Macaca mulatta: one gene and its partner. The protein of the gene in region 2 interacts with the protein of the main gene of each other region in a pairwise test. Links are inferred from orthologs where the notes say so. Each region holds a gene or a part of one and is shown on either strand. Other genes may lie near its edges.

What was found. The genes of interacting proteins can lie anywhere in the genome.
Region 1: the proteins of MKRN3 (region 2) and protein BEX2 interact in binary tests that used the Homo sapiens proteins (3 or more experiments, as listed by UniProt). The two-hybrid records come from large-scale screens. The link is inferred for Macaca mulatta from reciprocal best matches to the Homo sapiens genes MKRN3 and BEX2.

The regions. Positions count from the first base shown.
Region 1 is NC_133426.1:109,951,033-109,954,631, forward strand, and holds protein BEX2, read right to left. Parts: upstream 2,163-3,599; 5' UTR 1,756-2,162; coding exon 1,741-1,755; intron 1,592-1,740; coding exon 1,513-1,591; intron 1,136-1,512; coding exon 744-1,135; 3' UTR 501-743; downstream 1-500. UniProt on the Homo sapiens protein: Regulator of mitochondrial apoptosis and G1 cell cycle in breast cancer.
Region 2 is NC_133412.1:6,385,541-6,390,670, forward strand, and holds the start of MKRN3 (E3 ubiquitin-protein ligase makorin-3), read right to left. Parts: upstream 3,199-5,130; 5' UTR 3,090-3,198; coding exon 1,566-3,089; 3' UTR 1-1,565. UniProt on the Homo sapiens protein: E3 ubiquitin ligase catalyzing the covalent attachment of ubiquitin moieties onto substrate proteins.

The DNA.
Region 1 (3,599 bases), on a different chromosome or scaffold from region 2:
CCACTGGACTTGTGAATATAGGGAAGACCTCACCTTGGAGATTTCCTCTAATAACAGAAGGGAATATCTAAAGGGTTGGGTCATGCATGTCAGTAAGAACAAGAACTTGGGAGAAAGCTTACAACCTCATTACCTTTTCTGGTCCATACAATAAGCCTGGGAGGTGATTGTCTTCATCTTACTGATAAATATTATGATCTTCAAAGAGATGTGTCTCTCAAACATTTCTAAAAAGAGATCCCAGAAGCAAGTTAAAATTGAGATTCTGTCACAAGTGTTTATTAAGTGCTCACATTGCTTTTATAAGGTGGTCACATTGCTTTTTATAAGTAATACGTGTTCCATTTTAAAAAATAAGAAATTATGGATAAGCAAGAATAAACTCCCTCTTAATTCTACCACAAAGATAAACACGATTTTCTATATATGTGTATATATGTGTACATATATGACTGTTTATGTTCATATTTAAGATTTAAAGTAAAAAAGAATGCAGAGAATGGTTTTTTAAACTATTTTATTAACTTCACAATATATAATGAGCATCTTTCCATGCAGTAGGTAAAACTCCCCTGCTGACAGAAACTTACAAACTGGGTCAAAACAACATTCAGTTTGAAGCTGGTAATAGGAGACCCACAAGAAATAGGTAACATCAAAAGGTTTACGACAAAGGTACACCACAAATGTGTAAGTTTAGGAAGCTGGGGTCTCCCTATTAACTTCAGGGAAACCATCAGGATTCAGGGCATAAGGCAAAACTCATCGTGATGGTCATGGTGAGGGGGGTCAGTGCTGACTGCCCGCAGACTATGACTCAACTGTTTTTCCCTCAGCTTTTCCATCAGCTGTCTCACCTCCTCCCCAATCCTTTCCATATTCTCCTCTCTCATCCTTGCCTGTGGCTCTCCAAGCCTATGCATTATGTCCCATCTATACTGCAGGGTGGGCTGCCTAACACGGAACCGCCTACGATTTCCTCTAGGCACACAGTATTCATCAACATTCAAAGGGAGGGCCAAGGGCTCCCCTTTATTAGCAACTTGCTCCTTTTCATCTTTTTCATCATTTTCCTGGTTGACATTTTCCACGTTGAGATTGTTTAACGCTCGTTCCTCTTTGGACTCCATTACTCCTATGAGACAGAGAGAAAACGGACTCAATTCTTGGTGAACTGATCAGCACCGAGGACAGAGGCCCGACTACCCACCTTTCAAAATTCAGAGCCCTGGATTTCAAAGGCCTTTTTTAAATTTCATTTTTTTTTTCCCACCAGAGAGGCCCCGTGTACCCTCGGGGTTGGGGGGGGGCAGTCCGCGCCCCTCTCTCCCGCAAAGCCCACCATCTTCTCTGCAGATCCATCTCCAGGCCTCTGCAGGCGCCAAAATGGAGGACGAAGAAGGGGTGGGGGTGGGGGATTGCGAAGCGTAGCAGTGAAGGCACCGACTGGGGTCCCAGACTGGGCTTTCGTCATGTTCTGACCCCCGCCCCGCCACCGTCCCTCGCACCGACCTGGGCCTATCCTTGCAGTCTCCTCCTCCTCCCGATTCTCGACGTGAGGTGCGTCGCCTCGACACTTAGCCTCGCAGACCTGCAGACGGCCGGGGTGGGAAGAGTGGAGGCTGCTGCAGCGGAACACTAGCGAGGACCCGCCGCCACCCGGCCCCTTCCCCGCGCCGGGCCCGGGCCCTCCTCGCCGCCCTCTCCCCGCGCCTCAGCCGCCCCGCCCCCCAAGCTGACCACCATTTTCTGCATCAAGAAGGGCGGAGCAGGGATCTCAGAAAAGATTGCGCTGGTGGCGGAGGCAGGTGCTTCAGAAGGGCCGTAGCCTCAGGACCGCAGCCTCAGGACCGCCGGCTCCCGCGGGGCCAGGCACTCCTCCGCTCACTAAAGGCTCGCGGTCCCGCGGCGGGGCCCCGGGGCTGCATCGTGCACCGGCTGCGTCTCAGCGCGGCTCCTCGGGGGTGGGGCATCCGCAGGCCGGGGCCGCTCCCCCACACCAACCCCAGGGACCCCCTCCGTTTCCCTTACCTGCTCCCCCTCCGCTTCCTGCTTTCGGGGCCGCACCTGGCCCGCACGTCCTCAGGGCCACCGGGAACAGGTACCACAGCCGAGAAAGGAGCGAGCGACGGCGGCTCCGACGCCAGAGAGAGGCAAGACTCAGTGTTGGCCGATCACGTGGGGCTGTTGTCATCGCCAGCGGCTCCGCCCCCGTCCCACGCTCCCTCCTGCAGCCTGGAGTCAGGTGGGACTTTCGGGCCCGCCCCCATCCTCACCGTGAGTCCCTTTTAACATCCCCAGCCTGGGCTCTGCCACTCTCCCTTCTCTTGTGTATTCTTGAGACTTCCCTTGCCTGCCCAGGAAGGACGGAAGGCATCTTCTCAGGGAGCTGTTGGCCATTCCCACTTCTCTGGGGACTTGCCTCTCTCTGCCCTTGGCTGCCAGGATTCACCTCCTTCTGCCTGTTAATTAATTTTTGACAAAGATGTCAAAGTAATTCGATATGGAAAGTATAGTCTTTTAAACAAATGGTGCTGAAATAACAGAATTCTTAAAGGAAAAACAGGAGCCTTGCCTTTTATCTATACTATACACAAATTAATTCAAAATGGTCATAAACCTAAATGTAAAAACTCAAATTAGAAAACTTCTAGAATAAAACATAGAGAAAAACTTTATAATCTTTGAGAAAACAATCCCTTAGGACAGAAAAAGAACAGATCACAAAAAAAAAAATGAGAAATTGGATTTATCAAAATTAAAAACTACCATTTAAACCACATGGTTAAGAAAATGAAGTGAGAAGCTGGGAGTAAATATTCACAATATGTGTATCTGACAGTGGGTTTGAATTCAGAGCATATATAAAGAACTTCGAAAACTCAAGAAGGCAAATAATAGATTTGAATAAACATTTCACAAAACTACATACACAAATTACCAACGAGCTCATGAAAAGATGCTCAACCTCATTAACTATCAGGGAAATGTAAAATAAAGCCAGAATGAAAAACCACTGCACACCCATTATAATTGCTGAACTTAAAATGTCTGACAGTCCCAAGCACTTTTGAAAATAGTAACAATAGAAACTCTCATTGATTGTTGGTGAGGGGTTCAACCACTCCAAGACTTGGTGGCAGTTTCTTAAAAAGTTAAACTTAGGCTTACCATATGTCCTAGAAATTCCACTTTTTGGAATTTTCCCAACAGATTTTAAAACATATTTTCTCAAAAATATTGGCATAGGAAAGTTCATAGAAATTTCCTTTATGATAGCCCCAAAGTTGATAAAAATCTAAATGTCCAACAAGTGAACTGATAAACAAATTGTGATGTATTCATACATTTTAAAGCTGCTAAGCAATAAAAAAGTGACAAGCTACTGATACAAACAGTAACATAGATGAATCTTAAAAAAATGAAAAAAAAATTGTATCTATAAAGACACCAGCCACAATTGTTTTCTGCATGATTGCATTTATATAAGTTCTAAAACAGGCAAAACTAATCTGTACTGATATAAGTTGAATCAAATCAGTTTTTGCCTGGCTTGAAAGTTGGGGTTTTTCTGATTGCAAAGAGGCATAATGGAACTC
Region 2 (5,130 bases):
TGTATTAAAATTGTCCACTAAGAGTCTGGAGTTAGGATTTTCTATTTTTATCAGTTGTGTATCTGATACAACATTATTAAATGTATACAAAATTTGAACAGTTATATATTCCTGTGAATTACAATTTAATGTTTATGTATCATTCCTTTTTATCTCCAGCAAAGTGTTTATCCTTACCATAAACATTGTCTACAATCAAGACAGTCACAGCACCTGTTTGGTTTTTTTTCCCATCTTACTACTTTGAATGCTTCTGTATTTTTATGTTGTGTGTATTTTAAATAGGATGTTTCATTTTGATTGTAATGAAGTCTTATAGCCTTTGACTTTCAGTCTTTAAACTGCTTTCATTTAATCTAAGTTGTATGTAAATTTTCTATATTACTCTTACACTTAGTTTTTAGTGCTTTCTATATTTTATTATCTTTCCATTATTTTATTCTCACTGGTTTTAGTATTTTTGTTCTATTTTCCCTTTTATAATCTTGTTACTTTTATGTTGAAATCTTTTGTCTAAAGCCCCTTGTTGGGAAAGTCTAGAGACTTTGTATATCAAATACAAAGCACTGTGCCTCTGAGCCTAGGATTTGCTGTTACAAAGAATTATTGAGAAGGTGGCAAAACTGCGTAGGAACACAATTTCTGTTTTTATAGAGTGAGCTATTAATGCCATTGTAAGAATTACCAATATAGTGCTTTGTAAGTCCTCTTAAGATCTGCATCTGTTACATTTGGCCAGACCCACTTGAACAGTCCTTTTCATTAGATGCTAATTACTGGCTTCTGTGCAAGGGACAGAATGATTATTCACACAACTCACATCCACACAACAGCCAATCCTGTTAGGCTTTGACCTTCAGCTTTCGGCTCTGTATTTACTTTATTACATAAACATAAATATTGTGATGTATATTCTTTTATATATATTTTCAAATACATAGCTCTTATACATATATATTATATATATATCATTCTTAAATATATATTTCCAAATATAAATTATTTCATGTCAAGCTAAACAGGATAAAAACATGTAAACATATACACTTGGTTTTGGTCAAGTAAAACACAAAATCACAAGTTCATCACAGTTTAACAAGTGCACTTGAAGGGGAAGGAGGGAAAGAACAAACTGTAAACAGATGAGCAGCTGCAAGACCCTGCGAGGGTCCATTTGTTAAGGCTATTATAGCACAAAGCTACTAGTTCAATTAAAACTTCTCCTTTCACTCTGCCACATTTACTCTTGAGGGTCTTCAAAATAAGTGTGGAAATTCAGTAAACACTACACTAGAACTGAGTTAATCCTGTTGAAAACAGAGATGACAAAAAAAGCCATAAGCTGACATTAATATTAATTTCACCAAAACAGTAACTTTAAGGACTTATTTTTTTAAACACAGATAATCACCATAATCCTAGGAGGAAAGATATGCAGAATAGACAAGAAAACAGAAGCACTGCCTCAACAGCCCCTGAAAGCAATAAGAGTGTCAACACAGGGAAAACAGGCAATAGCAGACGACAGAACCTCAGCAGACTAGACCACATGCCACAGCACAATGCTACAGATTCAAATTGAAATATTCTTCCAGCTCATAATGAAGCAAGTCCCACTGGTCCTCAGAGAAGGGTAACTCATCTCTCAGTAAAAGAAACCGCTTAAACAACAGACTGGCCAGTCGAAGCACGACAAGCTCCTTCTTACGGCTTTTATAGAGCATGTCGCCCTCTCCCATTCGCACAGGCTCCACAAGTTGATGCCAGTATGCGCCGAATGACCCACCACCTGGCCCAGGAGGCTCATCTCCCCAGCCCTCAGGGTATTCATGCTTGTAAAAGCATGTGTCTCCAAATGGGCAGTTACCCCTGCCTTCCGCAAAATACCTGCAGGCCTTGTTGCTCATTGCCTCCTTGTATTGCTGAATAAGTTTCTGCTTCTCTTCCTCCTCCTCCACCCAGAACTCACTGGGAACGACCAAGTCGGAGGTGACCCTGCACTGCGGGCAAGACTTGATGATCCTGTTATCAAACTGTCTGGCACTTCTCCACCTGCGGATACACCTAATACAGAAGGTATGGTTGCAATTGGAAAGAATGCCAAAGCGGCGGTCATTGGGGTTGGCTTTCTCATAGACAACCTCCATGCAGATGCCACACACCTTGTCCATACCACGCTGCACAGCAAACGAGAGTTCCATATCTTTCTCGTGTGCTTCAATGCAGGCCCTTATATGGTCTTCCCTCTGGGCAGCATCCATGGGGTGCAAGGCCTGCAGCCCACACATGTCGCATATGTCTCCATGGAGGAACATACAGCTCTCCCCACGAAAGCAAACTCCCCTGGAAGCATAATAGCAAAACCGCAACCCCCTGCCCACAGCCATCTGCTTCCTCTCAGTCTCTGAGCTCTGTGGAGGAGCCTCGGGGGCAGATGCAACCCAGCGGCCCCGGTAGGGCTGCCCTGGAACAAACTCAATGGCATCCGCCCAGCTTTCTACACCTGCTCCTCCAGCAGCTCCACGGTCTGCATTGTCTCTCTCGGCTTCAAAGAAACCCCTTTCAGCAGCCGAGCCAATCACAGGCAAGGAAAGGGAGGATGCAGCCGGGGGGGCTTCCGCCACTTCCTGAGTCGGGGGCTCGATGTGCGCAGCCGTGCTAGGGCCTCCACCTGCAGAGGCCCCAGGCGGCGAAACGCTGCCCTCAGTGGCCATCTTCCGACCAGAAAGGTCGTGGGAATAGCGACAGTTCTCCCCCTCCTTGCACTGCCCATGTATATAATACCTGCAGATGATCTGCTTTGTCCAAATGCCGCTGCTTCGGCTTGGAAACGGATTGCGCCATGCTCCTCCTCCTGAGGCTGGTGCAGGCCTCAGGCCTCCTGTGCGGAGGTGGGCAGGGACTGGAGCTACAGGGAAGGGGGCCCAGCCCACAGGCGCATGTGGCAGGGCCGAATCTGGAGCAGCAGATTCCCTGGAGGGCTCACAGACGGGAAGGTCCGGCCCGGACACACCCTCCCCTGCTGCCTCAGCACCTGCCTGGGCCCCGGCTGCCTCCTGGGCTTCTGAGGGAGCTGCAGGCTCTTCCATGGCAGCTTCTTTACCCCGAAATGGTGCCAGAACGTCTCCGGTATTTTTTCTTTATGGGCTTGAGGCCCGGAGTCGCGGCCGCGCTCGGAGGCTTCTCTAGGGGAAGTGTGCATCTCTTTTTCTTCCCCCCCGGTTCTTGGCTGCCTGTGACTGTGTGTTCCTACCTACTTCCGGGCACAGGCAGCGCGGCGGACACTTCCTGTGGGGGCAACGTACGCGCCGCGCTTGGATTTTACCGCAATTTTCCAATCTGACATATTTTTTGTTCACACAGGCAGGGACCAACCCAGCCCCTTTTGTCTGCCTTCTGCCTCTGCTTCGCTGTGTTCCGGCAGCCCCTAATTCCCTCCTCACACCGTTTCCTCAGGAGAATGAGGTTTTACTTTAATCTCTTTTGGTTTCAGTCATGCACGTCTTCGTTGTATTTTCGTATCTGTCTGCTTTAAAAAAATTAGAATCCAATAGATTCTGAAACATTTCATACATGAATTAGATAAATCCTTTTTTGATTCACTCCATCTTATGTCTGCGTTTTTTTTTTTTTAATGCCCTGTCACTGCTGGAAGATTTTTTCGATTTGCTCTGTTGACAAAGCGTCGTTTCTTTTGGTCTTTGTTTTCTGGGATTTCTGAGGGCTTACGCAGGATACGCTTTTCACCAGCAAGGCATTAGCAGACAGCGCTTCTGATCCGAGGCTAAGTTAGCACCTTTCAGATGTCTTTCTTTATTGTGATTACTATGCTCGTTTTCCCACTGTGTAGAAGCCCCAGACTTCAATCATTCCTGATGCTGGCTGAATAAGGCACTGTCCCCTGCATGACCCAGGCTTTTATTTTCTCTACTGGTTTAATTCATGGCAGCCCTTTGTTTCTCTTGCTTTCTTTCAACCCCATCTGTGCTGTGTTGTGGCATACTATCCACAAAGGAATGGTCTTTAATTTCCATATATAAGCGTTTTGTCATTTTTGCAGATACGTGTAGTGGATTAATCATTTTTTTGTATTCCTACTTTGCTGAGAGTACGTATCATGACTGCATACTGAATTCTGTCATGTAGTTTTATATATTTTTTGAGATAATCTTGTTTTTCCCTTTATTCTCTTAATGTGATTATTTGCAGCTATGAGTTTCAAATATTTAACTGACCAATTTGTTTCTAATAAGAAGCCCTTCTGTGTCATGATATATCGTTTTATATATTATTGGATTTTTTTTTTTTCTGTAAGTTTCTTTGAGGAAATTTTGTTGCCTAAATCTGTAAAGTGGAAACATATCTGAATATTTATAATCACCCAAGTCAACAAATTAAATTATAATTAGGTAGGTAAAAGCAAAGAAAGCAGAATGAAGCAAATAATAAGGCCAAGAAAAGCAATGAAGAAAAACAAATATTAAATAAGGGAAATAAATTAAGTAAAATCCTTTAAACAGCTTATTGAAGCCAGATAATTTCTGGTGAAACTTATCAAGGAAAAATGAAGAAGGCTGTAATAACCAACATCAGTAATTTCAAATATGTTATCACTACATTAATAACAGGCATTAAAAATCATTAGAGAATATCAGGAACAAAATTAGGACATTAAACTTGAAAATTTACATGAAATAGTCATATTGCTGGAAACATCTATTAGTAAAAATGACAGGAGCAGAAATAAATGTGAATATGGATCTGTTACATCTGTAATTTAGATAATTATCTAAAAGGTTTCTAAAACTTTCCCTCTGAAATAAATCTAAAGGCAAAAAAATCTGTATTTATTATTGCAAGTCCTAGCTAGTGTAATAGCAAAGAAATAAAAGATGTTATAACTGGAAATAAATTATTGATGGAATGCAACAGAAAATTAAGAATAATTTACAGATAAGCTATTAGCTTTAATAGGTGCATTTAGCAAAGACACTGGACAGGAGTGCAATATACGAAAATCATTTTTATTTATCAATAACATTTGAAGTAAACATTTAAAATTAATAACATTCATAACAACATTAAAAGTTAACTAACCTAGGAATTAAACTAATTCAGGCTGTACAATAA